Saccharomyces cerevisiae S288C: one gene and its partners. The main gene of each other region encodes a partner of the protein of the gene in region 2 in a complex. Each region holds a gene or a part of one and is shown on either strand. Other genes may lie near its edges. The genes, in order: EMC2, EMC10, EMC6 and EMC4.

Region 1 (5,919 bases), on a different chromosome or scaffold from region 2:
ACATTATTATTGGGCTTACTAAAAAAATCGTTTATACTCTTTTTTCCCTTGAGCATATTTGGTGAATTATTTACGTCCACAAATGTCTGTTGAATTCTTTTGGTAAAAGTAGAGAGGTATTCACTTGGGTTCTGGTTACCTAATTTCTGTTGTCCATTTCGGGGCAGTGTATCTTTGAACTGTAACTCTAATTGTTTTAATTCTTTTTGGGCGACCTCTAATTTGAAACTAAGTTCATTGATTTCTCTGTGTTTTGCAGCTAATTTATATATTAAATCTTGGTCTGTTGAAATCGGACTTGCGTGGTCGCTCACGGGTGACTGATTTGTCGTAGATCTTTGCGGACTTGATATAGGTATAGCAAGTCTTTTGGGCTTTAAAGGTGTCGTAACCCTTGGTGATTTTGATTCAGGCTGCACTTCATGTTGTTTTTGATGCGGCTGTTGCTGCTGTCCTTGGGAGTGTTTATCGACAATCGACAGCTTATGTAATTCAATTGGTTGACTAATTACACGCTGGTCTTCTGACATTACTTTAGGGCGTATGTATGGATGTATTTTGTATTGCTTTTGGCTAGTTAGTAGTATTCCTCAATCGTATTGTTTTTGATTTTGAAAAAGCTAACGATAAAGGTCAGGAAAAAAAAAGAAAATTGTATGTAAAGGAATGTCTGGAGAGAGTTACACAGGAACAGAAAGGTCCAGCAACGGTTTCTACAACCAATCATGGATGTTGATATAGGATGTTATTTTGAAGAGAAACGCTATGACGACAAACTGTTAGACTTCATCAGATATGACGTTAAAACACCTAAAAAGACTAAATATATACTACAAAGGCCTACGGCGACAGATGAAGAGAGTGTACGATTACAAAGGTTTTACCAATTAGGAGTAGATCTAAAATTGAAGTATTCCAAGCGGAGGTCATTGAAGAAGCAAGGGCGGATCAAGAATGCTACTGAGGAATTGCTGCGATTAGCCAATGAACAGTTGAAACTTTTCAACAGAATAGTAGAAAGAGAAACCAATTGGATAATTTATCCGCTGTGGGTAATGGCTAAACAATTAATTCGTCTGGCAAACGAATCTAGTGAACTTAATAAAGACTCAATTGAGGAATGTGGACGCACTATCCATAGAAGCTTTACTATATGCCTCAATGATAGGAACCCAAGATTGAATGAAAATAAAAAAATCGGGTGTTATATGTTTGCTAATCTAGAGTTTTCCATCTACCATCGGTTAAGTAATAAAGATATGATTAAAAATTTAGTGAAAGTCCTCGAGAGCAGAGTGAACGCCCGGGATATACCACCGTTGAATAAAAGCCTGGCAATGGAACATAAGTCTCAAGTGGTGTTGTATAATTATTATCTAGGTCAATACTACGGATGTCTGGAAAACGATCACGAACGCGGGTTCTTCCATTTAAATGAAGCATTATTGCAATGTCCAATGCTATATGTGGAATCTACCGGCAAGTTCGTCTTACAGGGCCAAATGGAAAAGATAATGATACTGCTGGTTCCGCTTGCTCTTTTAACTAAAAGGTTGTACCCTCACTGGGATCATCCAGTAATCGCCGGAGTAATTACTAGGAGTAAGCGCTTAAGTCAAGTTTATCCGACATTAGTGCGTAGCGTAATCTCAGGGAACCTGTCACTGTACGAGGCTACCGCAGCAAGCCATGAAAGATTTTTCCTTTCGCAAGGATTGCATGTCGTCATCACATTACTTCGAGAGGTGGTCTTCACTCGGTTGGTACAACGATGTTGGCAATGGGGGAATGATCGGAAAAGTATCATGCCCTTGAAAATTCTTCTGGCAACAAAACAACACGATAGTTCTGCCAATGAGGACGAAGAGGAGCAGTTGGATGCCCTAGAATGCCGTCTAGCAAGTGCTATAGCAAGTGGGCTTTTGCGTGCTTATCTTTCTCACTCCAACCGCTGCATCGTTTTCAGTAAGAAGGAGCCCTTTCCCCATAGCAAATGATAGAAAAATAGTCAATAATTGAACGAAGAAAAAAAAAAGAAAGTTTGTTCATAAAAGAATATCATATTATATATATATATAGGGTCGTATATATATCGTGCGTCTTCTTCCTTCTCTAAGGGTAAAATTCCTTGTATTTGTTATAATAGTAGTAACTGCCGAGCCCACCCAAAGCTGTCAAAACGACAGGGACAGGTTTAGTGAACCTGGAAGGCATGCCTCTTATGACACCAGCACCAAGTAGTAAGGTCGATGCACCCAATGCCATTTCGAGCCCACCATCTCTATTCATATGTAGCAAGTAACCGGCAATCCCATATACACTACCGAATACTAAGCCAGATACTAGAGATGGAATGGAGCCCTTACGGTAGTATCCCATAAGGCCACCGGCTGTAGTCAAAAGACTCAATGTATATGCTGGATGTTCCATAGTGTGATCTGATGTTCCTTTCTCTCAAACTTCGTTTCTGTCTTGTCTCCCGCTGTTACCTAATAACTTCATGTGATCTGCTCCCCCTTCTCGTTAAATACCACCTTTTCATCAACCCCGTAGGGCGCGACACGTCTAAAATATTAACCTCTGAATACTTATTGGGTCAAAATGAATGTTGATAACTTTCCTTTACAAAAAAAAAACTAATAGAGTATATGCATTTCGGTAGTGAAATATTCGTTAATGCTAATATGCTCAGTAGTGATCCTAGATTACCAGTTTTACTGCAGCCATCGTACAATTTTGGAACGAGTATAAAGAGAGAAATTAAAAACGACAAGAAATATTCGTACTAGCTTCTCTTCCGGCTTGATGACAGTCTTAATATCATCTGCAACTCTTGAAATCTTGCTTTATAGTCAAAATTTACGTACGCTTTTCACTATATAATATGATTTGTCAATGTGATGAGTGAATGTCTCCCTGTTACCCGGTTTTCATGTTGATTTTTGTTTCAGGCTCTAAATGTTTGATGCAATATTTAACAAGGAGAACAGAAATGTTTTGTGACAGCACCTGTCAATTTTAGGATAGTAGCAATCGCAAACGTTCTCAATAATTCTAAGAATGACATCAGTTCAAAACTCTCCACGCTTACAACAACCTCAGGAACAGCAACAGCAACAGCAACAGCTTTCCTTAAAGATAAAACAATTGAAGTTAAAAAGAATCAACGAACTTAACAATAAACTGAGGAAAGAACTCAGCCGTGAAAGAATTACTGCTTCAAATGCATGTCTTACAATAATAAACTATACCTCGAATACAAAAGATTATACATTACCAGAACTATGGGGCTACCCCGTAGCAGGATCAAATCATTTTATAGAGGGTTTGAAAAATGCTCAAAAAAATAGCCAAATGTCAAACTCAAATAGTGTTTGTTGTACGCTTATGTAATGATAGTAATAGAATCCAAAAAAAAAAAAAATATACATGCTTTTTCATATCCTCTCTCACCCTATCTTTTTTTTTCTTCTAATTTTGGCTCCGTTCATATCTTATTCAAAATTAATTCAGCGGTAATCTTATCTTTATTGTTAGACTTCGCAGAAATTTCCTTTAGCTTCGATGCAGATAGTTTGATCAAGTCATTTTGTTTATTACGTCCCAGTTCGCGAGAAATGATGTTAACCAATGCCCACCCTTTTAGGTATAGTTCGCTAAGTTCAACGCTCCTCAAAGCATTCTTTAATGCCTTTTCCAAGAGCTCGGTCTTGGTTTGTTTCTTGCTACGTAGAGCCTCATAATACAGAGTCTCACTTAGCCTACCAAAACAAGCGTAATTGAATGGTGTAATACATAGGACCTGTTCCAAACAATAACAGGCTTTTTCAAATTGGCCCATTTCGAAATAAATCTCGCTGGCATACCACCACAATTCTGCATCAAGCGGGAATTTATCTGTAAGAGCTACCACTTCTTTAAGAACACTTTCTTGGCTCAAGTTCTTGGAAGTTGTCTTGATAGCTATCAATTTCTTTGCAATAGAGACATAAGTAACGAAGTCCGTTTCATACTCCAGATCATCATTCAACAAATTTTCCAGATATTCAATAGCGCCTTTATCATTTCCGTTTATCTGCAATAAAGTGGCTTTCATGATTACCATTTTATACGAATTTTCACCAAGACGATCTCTTAATGTATTATAAACAACTTGCGCATCAACGTCTTGGTTTCGGTACACCAAAACATAGAAAAGCATTTCCATCAAGAAGAAATAGTTTCCTTCTGTTAGTGCAGAGTCTCCGCTTTTCATGTAAATTTTCATTTCATTTTCTAGTTGCAGTAATTGTTCTGGATTAAATTGAGTATACGCTTTGGTATTCATAATTGTCAAAAGCTTTTCTCTAACCAAATCCTTCAACATTGTTTTATCTACTGCTTTCTATAATTTTCTCCGTTCCAATGCGATCCAATGCCTTTCATTCATACATAGTTATTTATTTCATTAACGATCCAAATCTCTTTACTTAACTTCACTAGTCAACGCTTCTAACACATCACGCGATACGAAGATTAACAGTTTAGTATAATATTGCAATACATACCCATTTCACACATCGGTCAAGGTCATCAAGCACTTTTAGTTATAGTGTGTCCTATAGTTCTTTCAGATTGATTGAGGTTTCATATTAGTGTTGAAAGCCTAGCTAAAGTTCTCTGGGCGTGCAACATTCGAGGACACATCGGTTGTTTATACCTCATGGGATTATGGATGGTCAAATAGATAAAATGGAGAAGCGATATAGCATGACCAAACTGGAGAATAGGTTAAGGACTTTCCAAGATGGTGTTGCACTTGAAAAAAAAAAGTTAAAGTGGAGTTTTAAAGTTATTCCGTATCAGGCAATGGCCAAGCTTGGATTTTACTTTGATCCAGTGATCGATCCTAAGACATCTAAACTGAAAAAAGACTCTGTAAGATGTTGCTATTGTCATCGTCAAACATACAATGTGAGAGACTGCAGATCCAAAAGAAAAGATGTTCTTGAGACTCTAAGCAATATAATGAGGCAACATCTGACTGTTACTGATAACAAACAAGTTTGCCTCCTTATTTACTTGCGCAATAAGCTATTGACGGACTATAGCTTCCATATGGGGGTTTCGGACTGGAAAAATGACAAGTACTTCAGCAATCCAGATGATGAAAACGTGATAAACCTAAGAAAATTTACTTTTCAAGATAACTGGCCTCACAGTGGTTCTCAAAATGAACATCCGCTGGGTATAGAAAAGATGGTGAATGCAGGACTCATGCGATACGACTCCAGCATAGAAGGCTTAGGCGATCCAAGCATGGATAAAACACTTATGAACGATACCTGTTATTGTATTTATTGCAAACAGTTGTTACAAGGTTGGTCAATAAATGACGATCCGATGAGCCGACATTATAAGGTTTCTCAAAATGGGAACTGTTATTTCTTTCAGACACGTAATCGATTTGAGAGAATAAAAAATGACAATGACAGTATCACGAAAAATTGCGAAGTCTCTCCAACTTTAGGCGAAAATGGGAAAAGAGAAGTGATCAACACGAAAACCGCTTCTCAAAGGCAGTGTCCTTTATTTGAGTCACCTCCATCTAGTACTGGTCCTCAACTTGACGATTATAATGAGAAGACAGATATATCTGTTATTCAACATAATATAAGTGTGCTTGATGGAGCACAAGGCGAAAATGTAAAACGTAATAGTGTGGAAGAAAAAGAACAAATCAACATGGAAAATGGAAGCACTACATTAGAAGAGGGCAATATAAATCGTGATGTTTTAGCAGATAAGAAAGAAGTTATTTCGACACCAACTGCAAAAGAAATCAAACGTCCAAATGTCCAGCTAACCCAATCATCGTCACCTATAAAAAAGAAAAGAAAGTTTAAGAGAATATCGCCTAGAAAAATCTTTGATGAGGAA
Region 2 (4,392 bases):
ATAGAGTGAGCGGATTTCTATTATCTGAAAACCGGGTTATAATGCACGTGATATGCACGTGGGAGCTGGGCGGCTATTTTTTTCTTTTTCAAATGTATTTGAGTCGTTTAAAATAGCACTCCCCGTTGACCCGCCAACTCATTTTTGTTTTCTCTTTACGGAAAAGGCTTTAAATTAAGGCCCGCATTTTCGGTATCCTTGAGGGAAAAAAACCAAAGAAACCCAAAAAAGACCACAAAGCTGGGATATCTTAATTAGTAGAGAGGGCTTTTAGTTTTAATAGTGTTACGAGTCTCTAAAAATAGCGTAGGCACACTGCCCTGATTCGGACTTTGATCAGAGTTTATTACTACAAAGAGTAATGTTGAATGATTGGGCTGGGTTTTCATAGCATTAACTCTAAGTAATATCATTCAACCGCTCAAGGTTCCTTACGAGCAAACCCATATATGCTCTACAGATAAACATATAAATAGCGTGCATATTCTTCTCTATTCAACTCTTGCTCTGTATAGTTCAATAGAATCTTACAGTACATCACGCTGCAATAGATCTAATCCAAGAGAGAAGCAAAAAAAAAAAGCTCGCTATAAAAATATCATGCAATTACATTCACTTATCGCTTCAACTGCGCTCTTAATAACGTCAGCTTTGGCTGCTACTTCCTCTTCTTCCAGCATACCCTCTTCCTGTACCATAAGCTCACATGCCACGGCCACAGCTCAGAGTGACTTAGATAAATATAGCCGCTGTGATACGTTAGTCGGGAACTTAACTATTGGTGGTGGTTTGAAGACTGGTGCTTTGGCTAATGTTAAAGAAATCAACGGGTCTCTAACTATATTTAACGCTACAAATCTAACCTCATTCGCTGCTGATTCCTTGGAGTCCATCACAGATTCTTTGAACCTACAGAGTTTGACAATCTTGACTTCTGCTTCATTTGGGTCTTTACAGAGCGTTGATAGTATAAAACTGATTACTCTACCCGCCATCTCCAGTTTTACTTCAAATATCAAATCTGCTAACAACATTTATATTTCCGACACTTCGTTACAATCTGTCGATGGATTCTCAGCCTTGAAAAAAGTTAACGTGTTCAACGTCAATAACAATAAGAAATTAACCTCGATCAAATCTCCAGTTGAAACAGTCAGCGATTCTTTACAATTTTCGTTCAACGGTAACCAGACTAAAATCACCTTCGATGACTTGGTTTGGGCAAACAATATCAGTTTGACCGATGTCCACTCTGTTTCCTTCGCTAACTTGCAAAAGATTAACTCTTCATTGGGTTTCATCAACAACTCCATCTCAAGTTTGAATTTCACTAAGCTAAACACCATTGGCCAAACCTTCAGTATCGTTTCCAATGACTACTTGAAGAACTTGTCGTTCTCTAATTTGTCAACCATAGGTGGTGCTCTTGTCGTTGCTAACAACACTGGTTTACAAAAAATTGGTGGTCTCGACAACCTAACAACCATTGGCGGTACTTTGGAAGTTGTTGGTAACTTCACCTCCTTGAACCTAGACTCTTTGAAGTCTGTCAAGGGTGGCGCAGATGTCGAATCAAAGTCAAGCAATTTCTCCTGTAATGCTTTGAAAGCTTTGCAAAAGAAAGGGGGTATCAAGGGTGAATCTTTTGTCTGCAAAAATGGTGCATCATCCACATCTGTTAAACTATCGTCCACTTCCAAATCTCAATCAAGCCAAACTACTGCCAAGGTTTCCAAGTCATCTTCTAAGGCCGAGGAAAAGAAGTTCACTTCTGGCGATATCAAGGCTGCTGCTTCTGCCTCTAGTGTTTCTAGTTCTGGCGCTTCCAGCTCTAGCTCTAAGAGTTCCAAAGGCAATGCCGCTATCATGGCACCAATTGGCCAAACAACCCCTTTGGTCGGTCTTTTGACGGCAATCATCATGTCTATAATGTAATGGAATGAAGAAATATTCTTCATTTTTGATAACTAGTACCTGTCATTCACGACATGTGAACAAATAAAAACATTTATTTAAAAATTTTATGTATTCAAATATTTTCGGGAAAGAGATAAAAGTAACGACACTTAAAAATTTAAAAAATCACAATACTTTATTTACTCAGTCTTTTGATCAGCTCCGGCACCTCCTTGTTGTTGCTTCTTTGCTGAGCCCGCAACAAAATTGTAAATCAATAGGCCTAAAAGTAACATTTTCCAGTTCTTTTGAAACCAAGACACCTCCTTAACCTCTTCATCTTCTTCGAATTGTGCAGTGCTTCCATCCTTATTCTTACTAGCTTTTTTATCAGCATAAGTTTTGGTTTTCTTCTTTAATTTGGTGACTGGTGCAGTAGGTCCCGCTTCTGGATATCTGACTGTAGCAGTAATAGCATCGTTAGTCTCGTCATATGATAACGACACTTGTTTGACCTCATTATCTTCATCTACATCCACAATTAAATCGTATTTTAGTGGTGTCCTCAGCTTCATGTAGCTAAAACATGGCATATCCAGCTTACCTTCAATCTGGGCATTCAAACAGTATTCTCCAGAAACTTCAACATCCTGTATATTAACGGTTGTTACTGTAACATTCCCATCGGATGTACTATCAATCTCAAATGTTCCTAGGGGTATAGCGTCTTTCGCATCATCTGAATAGCTTAATTGTAAAATATCAGCACAGAAAACCATGCTGGCCAATAAAATCACACGCAACAGCCGCACAAGCATCTTTCCTTCAATGAGTATTGTACAGTTCTTGTTAGATAGTGTTGAATAGTACCACCTTGTTTTTTTACTCAAAGTGTCTTTTATATACTTCTAATTATTCCTATATTTGGTTGGGTTTTTAAGTTACCAATGCAAATACAGTGGTTAGAGACCCAGCGCACGTATGCAAAAAAATACAGCGGAAATTTCAAGTAAAAATGTAGCTTCATAAAAAAGAAGCAGATTCCCTAAAATAAGCAATAGATCTTCACATATATCGTTATCATCCCCTTTCTTCCCTGTTTCAATGCAAGCTAAAATTATATATGCTCTGAGCGCAATTTCTGCGTTGATTCCGTTAGGATCATCACTATTAGCACCTATAGAAGACCCCATAGTATCGAATAAGTACCTCATATCTTACATCGATGAGGACGACTGGAGTGATAGGATATTACAAAATCAGTCTGTCATGAACTCGGGATATATAGTGAATATGGGCGACGACCTTGAATGCTTTATTCAAAATGCAAGCACTCAATTGAATGATGTATTGGAAGACTCAAATGAGCATAGCAATAGTGAAAAGACAGCATTATTAACTAAAACCCTGAATCAAGGTGTTAAGACAATTTTCGATAAATTAAATGAACGGTGCATCTTCTACCAAGCCGGATTTTGGATTTACGAGTACTGTCCTGGCATAGAATTTGTTCAGTTCCATGGTAGAGTAAATACAAAAACTGGTGAAATAGTAAATCGAGATGAATCTTTGGTCTACCGCCTGGGAAAACCAAAAGCAAATGTAGAAGAGAGAGAATTTGAACTACTTTATGACGATGTAGGATATTACATCAGCGAAATTATAGGGTCAGGTGATATTTGCGATGTGACGGGGGCTGAAAGAATGGTTGAAATACAATATGTCTGTGGCGGCTCAAACTCTGGACCATCGACTATTCAATGGGTGAGAGAAACAAAAATTTGTGTTTATGAAGCCCAAGTTACCATACCTGAATTGTGCAATTTAGAATTACTAGCCAAAAATGAAGACCAAAAGAACGCCTCACCTATACTTTGCAGGATGCCCGCAAAATCAAAAATTGGTAGTAACTCTATTGATTTAATCACCAAATATGAACCGATTTTTTTAGGTTCTGGAATATACTTTCTAAGGCCCTTTAACACCGACGAAAGAGACAAATTAATGGTTACTGACAATGCCATGTCAAATTGGGATGAGATTACGGAAACATATTACCAGAAATTTGGAAATGCCATAAACAAAATGCTTAGTTTGAGATTAGTATCGTTACCTAATGGACATATTCTCCAGCCTGGTGACTCATGTGTTTGGTTGGCGGAAGTGGTTGATATGAAAGATCGGTTTCAAACCACTTTATCGTTGAACATACTTAATTCACAGAGAGCAGAGATATTTTTCAACAAGACGTTTACATTTAATGAAGATAATGGAAACTTCCTATCATACAAAATTGGGGATCATGGCGAGTCAACTGAACTTGGTCAAATAACCCACTCAAACAAAGCAGATATAAATACCGCAGAAATTCGGTCAGATGAATACTTAATTAACACTGATAATGAGCTATTCTTGAGGATTTCTAAGGAGATAGCAGAAGTGAAAGAATTATTAAACGAAATCGTAAGTCCACATGAAATGGAAGTAATATTTGAA
Region 3 (5,440 bases), on a different chromosome or scaffold from region 2:
TAATTGCGCACTCTGTTACCCTGAACTGCATTTCTTTTTTCCTTCTAAAAATTGTGGAGAGAGGAAGATAATTTCCCAAATGTACCATTAGCACACTTGAGAATGTATATTGGATGTATGAAGCTTGATGAATAGGAGAAAAAAAAAAACAAAGAAAAGAAGGAAAAAGAAAAATAAGTGGTGCCTGCACATATTTGAATATCTACTGTAAATAGTATAACACTGCTTAGCTAATTTTTTTCTGGTCATCTGGTCTCTAAAGAGAAACATAAGAAAAAGATAGGAACATTGAAAGGCGGTGAAAAGGAAACTTCCTTGCTACTGATATATCTATAAGCATAGAAGTACGCAAGCAAACAAGAAAACAAACAAGAACTACGCATTTAAATTTCTTCTGAATAACGCAATATTGCGGGTATAAATGGAAATGAACATGGATATGGATATGGATATGGAACTCGCATCCATAGTTTCTTCTTTAAGCGCCCTGTCCCATAGTAACAACAACGGCGGTCAGGCCGCCGCGGCCGGCATTGTGAACGGCGGTGCTGCTGGATCACAGCAAATTGGCGGCTTCAGAAGGTCGAGTTTCACCACGGCAAATGAAGTAGATTCAGAGATCTTGCTGCTTCACGGTTCCAGTGAATCTTCACCGATCTTCAAGAAAACCGCCCTATCAGTTGGTACTGCTCCGCCATTCTCCACGAACTCGAAAAAGTTTTTTGGTAACGGCGGCAATTATTACCAGTACAGATCAACCGACACTGCCTCCCTGTCATCCGCATCGTACAATAACTATCATACTCATCATACTGCGGCTAATCTCGGGAAAAACAACAAGGTCAACCATCTTCTGGGCCAGTATTCAGCTTCCATTGCTGGTCCCGTTTACTACAATGGCAATGACAACAACAACTCTGGTGGGGAAGGGTTTTTTGAGAAGTTCGGAAAATCTTTGATTGACGGTACAAGGGAACTGGAATCTCAAGATAGACCCGACGCTGTCAATACTCAGTCCCAATTCATATCAAAAAGCGTCTCTAACGCCAGCTTAGACACACAGAATACTTTCGAGCAAAATGTCGAGTCTGACAAAAACTTCAACAAATTGAATAGGAACACTACTAACAGTGGTTCGCTTTACCACTCCAGTTCAAATTCAGGCTCATCTGCGTCTTTAGAGTCCGAAAATGCTCATTACCCCAAGAGAAATATCTGGAACGTAGCCAACACACCAGTATTTAGACCTAGTAACAATCCAGCCGCTGTTGGGGCCACAAATGTCGCGCTTCCTAACCAACAAGATGGGCCTGCAAATAACAATTTCCCCCCCTACATGAACGGCTTCCCACCCAATCAGTTTCATCAGGGCCCTCATTACCAAAACTTCCCCAACTACTTGATCGGATCTCCTTCAAATTTCATCTCCCAGATGATTTCAGTACAGATTCCAGCAAATGAAGACACCGAAGACTCAAATGGTAAGAAAAAGAAGAAGGCAAACAGACCTTCTTCTGTTTCTTCACCTTCGTCCCCTCCAAACAATTCTCCGTTCCCGTTTGCCTACCCCAACCCAATGATGTTTATGCCACCTCCACCACTCTCTGCTCCCCAGCAACAACAGCAACAGCAACAACAACAACAACAAGAAGACCAACAACAGCAACAGCAACAGGAGAATCCTTATATTTACTACCCTACTCCAAATCCTATACCTGTCAAAATGCCCAAGGACGAAAAAACCTTCAAGAAAAGAAATAACAAGAATCATCCTGCAAATAACTCCAACAACGCCAACAAACAGGCAAATCCTTATCTAGAAAATTCTATACCCACAAAGAATACCTCTAAAAAGAATGCTTCTTCCAAATCTAATGAGTCAACGGCCAACAACCATAAATCTCACTCTCATTCTCATCCTCATTCTCAAAGTCTACAGCAACAGCAGCAAACGTATCATCGATCGCCGTTGTTAGAGCAACTAAGAAACAGTAGTTCTGACAAAAATTCAAACTCGAACATGTCACTAAAAGACATCTTTGGCCATTCCTTAGAGTTTTGCAAAGATCAACATGGTTCACGGTTCATTCAGCGCGAGTTGGCCACCTCACCAGCCTCAGAAAAGGAGGTCATATTCAATGAAATTCGCGATGACGCCATTGAGCTTTCGAACGATGTATTTGGTAATTACGTCATTCAGAAGTTTTTTGAATTTGGTAGCAAAATTCAAAAAAATACTTTGGTTGATCAATTTAAAGGTAACATGAAACAGTTATCTCTACAAATGTACGCATGTCGTGTAATTCAAAAGGCGTTAGAATATATTGATTCCAATCAAAGAATTGAGTTAGTCCTGGAATTATCTGACTCCGTTTTGCAAATGATCAAAGATCAGAACGGTAATCACGTAATTCAAAAGGCCATCGAAACAATTCCTATCGAAAAATTACCTTTTATCTTAAGTTCTTTAACTGGCCACATTTACCATCTATCTACCCACTCCTACGGCTGTAGGGTCATTCAAAGATTGTTAGAATTTGGTTCGAGCGAAGATCAGGAAAGCATTTTAAACGAATTGAAAGATTTCATACCATATCTAATTCAAGACCAATATGGTAACTATGTCATTCAATATGTTTTGCAACAAGATCAGTTCACCAATAAGGAAATGGTCGATATCAAACAGGAAATCATAGAAACTGTGGCCAATAATGTTGTCGAATACTCTAAACATAAATTTGCCTCCAACGTGGTCGAAAAATCTATTCTTTATGGCTCTAAAAATCAGAAGGATTTAATAATTTCTAAGATTTTACCAAGAGACAAAAATCATGCTTTGAATCTGGAAGACGATTCTCCAATGATTTTAATGATCAAGGATCAATTTGCCAACTATGTGATTCAAAAATTAGTTAATGTCTCTGAGGGTGAGGGTAAGAAATTGATCGTCATTGCCATTAGAGCATATTTGGATAAACTAAACAAATCTAACTCCCTAGGAAATAGACATTTAGCCAGTGTTGAGAAACTTGCAGCATTGGTTGAAAATGCGGAGGTGTGATTAGTGTTATCATCGTTCTCCTTTCACTTTTTACTATTTTTTTTTTTTTTTTTTTTTTTTTTTTTTCCTCCATTTGTCTTTCACTTACTCTATTTTATTTTGTTTTATTTTGATATCTACTCTTGTCCATAACATTTATGTTCCCCTATATTCATTATTTGCTTTTTTCCATTACCTACTTTTTGTACCTCATCTCTATTTTTCTGCAAAAATCTTTGCGCTCTTACGCTCTTCTTATTTCTGCAACAGATAGAGAATTTAACATTGTGTATTTGAAATCATTTGACTGAGAATACTGTTGTCATGTCTTTTTACATAGAAGGAACTAAAAAAATTTAAAAAAAAAAAACACAAATAACATTATATTTACTGTACATAATAAATCAAGCCTGTTTCTAACCGTTTATAGAAGTAGTTCTTATATGTTCATCCGATTAGGGCGTATCCAAATGTCCATGCCATGACAAAACCAGTTATCTCTCTAAAAAACGATTCGAAAAAAATGTCATGAAGTGGGCTTTGGTAGAACTTTCCTGGTTGAAGTTGACAGATCCAAACAATGTAAATGACATTAATCAAGTTGTACAGAATCAGGAACCAAATAAACCCATGGACTGACTCGATTTGCAAAAATCCTGCAACAAGCCCTAGAACAAGTGCTGAGCTATCTTGCACGAAAAGTAAACGCTTCTTATTATCAACCACATTCGCAGTTGCGTTTATCTGAGTAAATACCTCTTCATTTGAGCTCATTTCTATCTGTCTGCCGCTGTCTTTCTCGAACACTGCTTGAGCAATCCAACATAAGGTTAAAATTAAGTTGTATTTAGTTATATCTCTACTAGCTTCATTTGTGATTACCCGGGTTACTAGAAAGCATATAGAAAGAAAAAGAATTGGCGTGACCGTACATATTGCAGCGCATTAAATGTTCTATATCTTCATATATAATAATCAATGTCATTATTTCAAATACCCACCTTTCTCACAAAGACTGTAAAAAATAGACGTTTTATCGGATAACAATTTCGAGGGTGAATCGAATTCCCTCACACTACCCTGGTCAAGAACAATTATCTTATCACTGTCCAATACAGTGTCGATACGATGTGCAATTGTTAAGATGGTACGGTCCTTAAATTCTCTTCTTATAGTGTCTTGGATAATTTTATCGGTTTCCATATCCACAGAAGCCGTTGCTTCATCAAGGACCAATATTTTGGAACGGTTTAGCAGCGCTCTTGCCAAACATAGTAGTTGTCTTTGCCCCACTGACAAGTTACTACCGTTCTCATTAATCTTGACATCCAGAATATCATTAACATTGCCATCCTCTTCATTAGAATCATCACCTCTTGGTTTACTGTGCAGCATTTTTTCCAGATGAGGCTTTAAATGTGCCTGCTCAACAGCCCTTTTAAGTTCATCTTCTGAATAACGATTGAAAGGGTCCAAATTGGTCTTTACTGTACCTTCAAAAGCTTGTGCATCCTGAGGAATAATTGCCAAATGGCTTCTTAAATCGAACAGACCTATGTCGGATATATCAATGCCGTCAATAATAATTTTACCTTCGGTAGGTTCTAGTATTCTAAATAATGCCAGGCTCAGTGTAGACTTCCCTGCACCTGTTCTGCCAACAATCCCAACCTTTTCACATGGCTCAATCTTCACGTTAATATTATTCAGCACTGGATCCAAATTTTCTCTGTATTTTGTGGAATAGTTTTTGAATTCAATACCACCCTTTGATGGCCAATTTTCATCTGGCCTCTTTTCAGGGTTAATGGACTGTGCTTCAGGTGGTAATTCGCAGTACTCAACAATTCTCTCCACTGATACAATGTTGGTTTCAATCGTCACAGTTGTCCTTACAATCCAAGTCAATGAACCTGTAACCTCTAATGAATAGCTCATTAGTAGACCAACCATACCCGAACTTAGTTGCCTTTTAGTATTCATTGTTGCTAGTGCTAAGATTGCAGTAGCCAAAACAATTGTAGCACCAATAGTTTGCAATCTCACGGATAACCATCTATTCGTTGATCTAAAGTTGAAGACAAAATCAACGTTGTATTGGATTTTTTCATAATTTAGATAGATGAATCTCTCAAAATGATCGTATGCATCAATAATAGAATAACCGTTCAAGCTCTCACTCATTAAGGACATAATCGGAGAGTAAGATATACTGATCAATCTTTTTAGCTCCCTAGATAGCACAATGTAAAATGTTTGATAGTAAATATAGATAACCACCAAAAACATATTGAACACTAAAAACCATGGCATATTGTACCCGACTAATATAACAGTAACCAAATAGGTTAGTATTGATTTGAAAAAAAAGGAGAAAATGTACTGTAGATTACTGTCCAC
Region 4 (5,575 bases), on a different chromosome or scaffold from region 2:
TTTGTGCATCCAAGATATAAAGTACTTCAGAAATGGTGGTTGAAACAGAATGCCCATTACGCTTACTTTAAGGCTGTTCTTCAAGTTGATCCTTTCTTTGATACATGATTATCATCATGTACGTAGAAATCCGCCTTATTTCCGAAACCTGACTATCTTAGGGTTATACATAGAAACGTATAGGACATTTCTTACTTTTGAAAATTGTTCCTTGGGCAGTTCAGGGTTTAGTTAGGGTATTGATGCCAGCCCTAAATCCCCTAAATAAGAACTCTCGAGGATAATAACAGACAATAAACCAAGAGTTCATCCACGTATGATGGCTGTTTTTTATTCTGTCGGTTTTTGGTTGCCGTAGTAAATATAATTTGGTAAGCGTGTTGTGCTGTGTTGTGTTGTGTTGTGTTGTGTTGTGTTCTACTAATTGGATTGTGCGAATAAGTGAAACGGTTGCTTCACCCAGCGGGAAAAGGACAACCTGGTATTTGGTGTGAGATAAAGTTATAGACAATCTGGTCTTTTGTTATTAAGTTCTCTTTTCTTCTATACCGTCCAGTTTACTGCTCTCTTGCTTTTCGATAAAGCTAAAATAAAATAAAAATATGTCACTATGGCCCTTTGGAGAGACGCTGAGTCATTCCGGAATTGATTCGATACTTGAAGAGTACTATCTAATTTTTCGTAGTTTGGAGGGAAATGAGACCTCTTCAACTGACGACAAGAAGAATGAGCCTTCTATGGAGTCAGAGTCCGAATTTGGTACCGAGTCTCGGGATAGGAGTGACCTTAACCAGTCATTTATTGATAGGATCTTGTTGGAAACAGCTTTGCTGGATGAACTGAATGGAGCAGCCAACGACAGACTCGTCGACTTCATTTGCTTGGGATATTTCTATGACGACCGTTCCCAGCAGGTCCGCCACATGGACTACCTAGTGGACATGTTGATGGCTTACCTGAAGGACATAGACCGCACTGGTTATAGAACCCCATTTCTTTTAGAGAATTCATTCCATCAAACAGGTGAATATGAAGATCAGGACGATGAAGACCCAATGCTGTATGTCAACATTATTTCCAGTATTTTTTGTTCGAAAAGTGCGCCCATAGTGGAGGCACTCGTGCAAAATACCCCATTTTTGTCCTCTCTGTTCGAGGTTTTCCAGTTTGAAAATATTGAGGCAGAAAATTGTCCTATCTTGGCTGTTTTCCTTAAGATTAACGAAACTCTTCTGTTTGAACAGACATCTAGCTATTTGGAATTTTTCAAATCGCAACCGAACATTGTGGACAAGTTCTTATATCATATTGAAGTCTCACCCTTGGTTGAATTTCTCATTAAAATCATGCTGACTGATCAAGTTGAATCACCTACGAACATTATTGACTTCTTGTATCACCAGGATCTGATACCTAAGTGTTTGAATCTCTTGGAAAATAGCAAATACTCACCTGGTATTCAAAACAGTAGCGGAGAGCTTCTAAAAGCACTGATCAGCATTTCCACCAATTTTAAACTGGATACTTTGTGGATCGGACCTAACCGATTGACAAGACAGCTTGCCTCTCCGCAATATGTCGACCAACTTATTAATATAATCTTATTTCAAAGAGGCCATGCAATGGGAGTTGCCGTATCTATTATAATTGAGTTGATCAGGAAGAATAATTCCGACTATGACGAAGTAGATTTGTTAAGTACCACCATAGTAGACAATCCGCCTTCTCAAAGAGATCCAGTCTATTTGGGCCATTTGTTATATGAGCTCACTATGCATATGGAAGATTTTTATGCATTACTAATTAAACTTGAAAATGATGATGACGATGATCATGACACTGCTTCAAAAGCTCTTCCATCTGTTAAGCATCACCTACTAGAAAACCAATTGCATGAATCATTCAGGCCTTTGGGCTTTGAAAGAGTCAAGATTACAGAATTGATATCGGAAATGTTACACTGTTCAAATATGGGATTGATGAATTCAAAAAGAGGCGAAAAAATAGCACGTACCAGAGATAAATGCAGGGACACTCTTGATCAAAACTCACTAGAGAAAGCCATGAAAAATTTAAATATAAATGATAATACTATTACTTCCAATACATTAGAAGATAAATGTAATAATAATGATAGTAATGACAGTAATGACAACCAAAAACAAAAAAAAAATATTAAAAAAAAGTTTCATGATAATGAATTGTATTCTACTTTTGATACATCTGATGACAATATTGATGATGATGATGATATGAGTTTTGAAATTCCTTACGTCAGTGAAACGCAAAATTTGAAAATACGTAAAAACCCTACCATTGGAGATTTATTCAAAATTAAACTTCATGACCTTGGGTTTTTTCCAAAGTTTCTACAATTATTCTTAAGATATCCTTGGAATAACTTTTGGCACAACATTGTATTTGATATTATTCAGCAGATATTCAATGGTCGAATGGATTTTTCTTATAACTCATTTTTGGTCTATTCTTTGTTTGATTTCAAAAAGTCTACAAGATTTATCCCAAAACCTTTGTACGGCAGCAACCAAAAGTTACCTGTTAAAGACTTCCATATTATCTCTGATTTCATTTTACAAGGCCACAAGGATTCGTTTGAATTTTACGAAAAAGAGAAAACAAATTTAGGTTATATGGGTCAATTAGTATTAATTGCCGAAGAAATTGCGAAGTATTCCAAAATTTATAAGACCGATCTAATTGCTCCAGATATATATGCCTTCTTACAAGATGAAGTTTGGATGTCATATTCTAGTGACATCTTGAACGAAACAAGGACAATGTGTTCAATAATTCTTGGTGGAGGCCAGTTCTGTGCCGAAAGCGATGAAAATACTAACCAGGACTTTTTGGAAAAAGCTGATATGAGTAAACCAGCTCATCCATCCACAATGGATGAGAATGAAATTGTTCACGAGGAGGATGTTAAGTTGCATGATAAAGTTGCCGAGCTCATAGATGAATTGGGTCAATTAACCGAATTAGATATTCATGATAAAATTAAAGATGTTATTGTTGATCATCATTCCGACTTAAATTGATTAGGTTAAGTCGTCAAACCAATTTTGACTTTTTTTTTCCTACATTTTTAATATTTTGTTTCTCGTTTTGCCTTATTTAATTTTGTGACATGTAAAAATTACGAAGCCTATTGGGGGCCAATTGAAGTAAACTAAATATAACAATAGTCCTTTGTAGTTCAGGAATGTTCACCAACTATTCACCAAAAATTATTGTCTAGCTTACTTTCAATAACTTATAGCTATCTATACAAAAATAATCATATAACTAAAGTCAGGCCCAAACCAGGCAAAACAAAACCATAATAATGGGAATTATTACACTATCCGGCAATGTTCTACATTTATTGAAAGCCTACCCAAAAAAGGGCCTTGAAGAGGTTTCTCAACCAGAGCCTAATACAGCAAATGATTCCTCGACTGAATATAAAGGAAAAAGCAAGGATGATTTTCAAATGGTCGAAAAATCCAATACAGATGAGAGATACAATTTTACAAGAACGAAAAAATGGTTTTTATTGATGACCTCAGAATATTACAAACTAATGGAAAACAGACTTTTAATGTTTTGCATTATCGCTTGCTCTTTTATTTGTGCTATCCAATTTCTTTTCTTTATAATTTATTGGACCAACATTGTTCCACGGAAGACGCAAAGGGCAATAACTAACCTAAATTACGATTATTTAACAGCCCATCTAAAAGAGCAATGCGTTCCATATGCGAAAATTCTTGACCAATGTATTCTCTAGCAATCTCTGCTTTTGTACATTCGTAGTTTTTTCATGTTCCTTTCATAAATAATAAAAAAAGCGTATTCTTTTCTATATAAATAGAATGAAAAAAAGTTGAACATAATATCAGTTAAGGTTAAAATAAAGCCAAACGATATAAGCAACAGAAATGAGTGAACAGGAGCCTTACGAATGGGCTAAACACCTATTGGACACCAAGTATATCGAAAAATACAACATTCAGAACTCAAACACATTACCTTCACCACCAGGATTTGAAGGTAATTCCTCTAAAGGAAATGTTACAAGAAAACAACAAGATGCTACATCTCAAACTACTTCTTTGGCACAAAAAAACCAAATAACAGTATTACAAGTACAGAAGGCATGGCAAATTGCGTTACAACCAGCCAAATCTATTCCGATGAATATTTTTATGTCGTATATGTCCGGTACATCCTTACAAATCATTCCTATAATGACTGCCCTCATGCTACTCTCTGGACCCATTAAAGCAATATTTTCAACAAGGAGTGCATTCAAACCAGTGTTGGGTAATAAAGCAACACAAAGTCAAGTGCAAACTGCTATGTTCATGTATATCGTATTCCAAGGCGTCTTAATGTACATTGGATACAGGAAACTAAATTCAATGGGTCTCATTCCTAACGCTAAGGGTGATTGGCTACCCTGGGAACGAATTGCTCATTATAATAATGGATTACAATGGTTTTCCGATTGAGAGCGTATATACTTATATAAAATATCTATTCTGTTTCATATATGATTATTGTTTTACACTCTTATCTTCATCCTTTCGGAATTTCGATTCATAAAGCTGTTGAACGTTGTATTTACGATATTTGGTTTTATAATCCCCATCGACTACACACATTCCGATATTGCTCTTAAAACATTCCACTAGAATCAATTTATCATAGTTCTTCAAGTCCACAGTATGATTAAACTCAGAACCCTCTTTATTGACCAGCTTCACAACTTGATTAATGATGTCCATTCTTTCAATCGTATTGAAATTTCTTCTTGTCACTTCTACAGCAAATTTATAATTTTTTTTAACATTCGAAGGGTCATGAAAGTGTGGCCCAATAACCAAATTGGCCAACTTGATTAATTGCTCCATTTTTGCATTACAAGAGTACGTAATAGGTGTTAATTTCTGAACATATCTAGTACGTTTAACCATATTTTTGGGATCCGCTAAGTCTTTCATGATACTTAGCACAAATTCTTCGGGAACAATTGGCTTTCTTGTTTTACAAAATGTCACGCACTCACAGTTCAAGTCGATGAAGGCTAAGGGGTCTTTCTTCTTTGTCTCCCCTGAAGATAAATCTTTGCCTGTTTCTTCACCTTTCAATTCTTGTAATTCCTTTTTTATCTGGTCTTCAATTGATAGATCTTTCTTTTCGTCATTTTCACTTTCATCTTCTCCTTCTTTGATATCCCCATAGAGTTCTTGAAATTTTTCTTCGAATAAAAGCTGCAACTCTTGGGCTGCTTGACGTTCATGTCTTCTAGAACATGTGGCATATATTCCAGACGTACCAGGGTCTAAGAATCCGGAAGATACTTTAAACTATTACTTTTGATCGTTAGTACTTAAAGAACTCTAATTCGTGTGCAGACAGACATACTTTCTTCCTGTTTTGGGAATTTGCATCCTTACCATTACGGTTACGTTTTTCACCCATAATTAAGATACTTATTTACACTAATTGTATGATACTTTTCAATATATAGTAGACTTTTGAGATGTATTTGGTTGACGTGAAAAATAAA

The links.
Region 1: EMC10 (region 2) and EMC2 share a complex: the UniProt entries of both Saccharomyces cerevisiae proteins name them as parts of the ER membrane protein complex.
Region 3: EMC10 (region 2) and EMC6 share a complex: the UniProt entries of both Saccharomyces cerevisiae proteins name them as parts of the ER membrane protein complex.
Region 4: EMC10 (region 2) and EMC4 share a complex: the UniProt entries of both Saccharomyces cerevisiae proteins name them as parts of the ER membrane protein complex.

Annotation. Positions count from the first base shown.
Region 1 is NC_001142.9:583,008-588,926, forward strand, and holds EMC2 (Emc2p), read right to left. Parts: upstream 4,367-5,919; coding exon 3,488-4,366; downstream 1-3,487. Other genes in the region: ACF4 (Acf4p), read right to left, coding at 1-530; YJR084W (uncharacterized protein), read left to right, coding at 726-1,997; TMH11 (Tmh11p), read right to left, coding at 2,113-2,430; STE18 (Ste18p), read left to right, coding at 3,061-3,393; BIR1 (survivin), read left to right, coding at 4,711-5,919. UniProt on the Saccharomyces cerevisiae protein: Part of the endoplasmic reticulum membrane protein complex (EMC) that enables the energy-independent insertion into endoplasmic reticulum membranes of newly synthesized membrane proteins.
Region 2 is NC_001136.10:562,927-567,318, forward strand, and holds EMC10 (Emc10p), read right to left. Parts: upstream 2,715-4,392; coding exon 2,097-2,714; downstream 1-2,096. Other genes in the region: PST1 (Pst1p), read left to right, coding at 601-1,935; YOS9 (Yos9p), read left to right, coding at 3,001-4,392. UniProt on the Saccharomyces cerevisiae protein: Part of the endoplasmic reticulum membrane protein complex (EMC) that enables the energy-independent insertion into endoplasmic reticulum membranes of newly synthesized membrane proteins.
Region 3 is NC_001144.5:119,696-125,135, reverse strand, and holds EMC6 (Emc6p), read right to left. Parts: upstream 3,815-5,440; coding exon 3,488-3,814; downstream 1-3,487. Other genes in the region: mRNA-binding protein PUF3, read left to right, coding at 422-3,061; ATP-binding cassette bilirubin transporter BPT1, read right to left, coding at 4,025-5,440. UniProt on the Saccharomyces cerevisiae protein: Part of the endoplasmic reticulum membrane protein complex (EMC) that enables the energy-independent insertion into endoplasmic reticulum membranes of newly synthesized membrane proteins.
Region 4 is NC_001139.9:61,987-67,561, reverse strand, and holds EMC4 (chaperone EMC4), read left to right. Parts: upstream 1-3,941; coding exon 3,942-4,514; downstream 4,515-5,575. Other genes in the region: SAP4 (Sap4p), read left to right, coding at 603-3,059; YGL230C (uncharacterized protein), read left to right, coding at 3,347-3,790; TAN1 (putative tRNA acetyltransferase), read right to left, coding at 4,560-5,372, 5,431-5,487. UniProt on the Saccharomyces cerevisiae protein: Part of the endoplasmic reticulum membrane protein complex (EMC) that enables the energy-independent insertion into endoplasmic reticulum membranes of newly synthesized membrane proteins.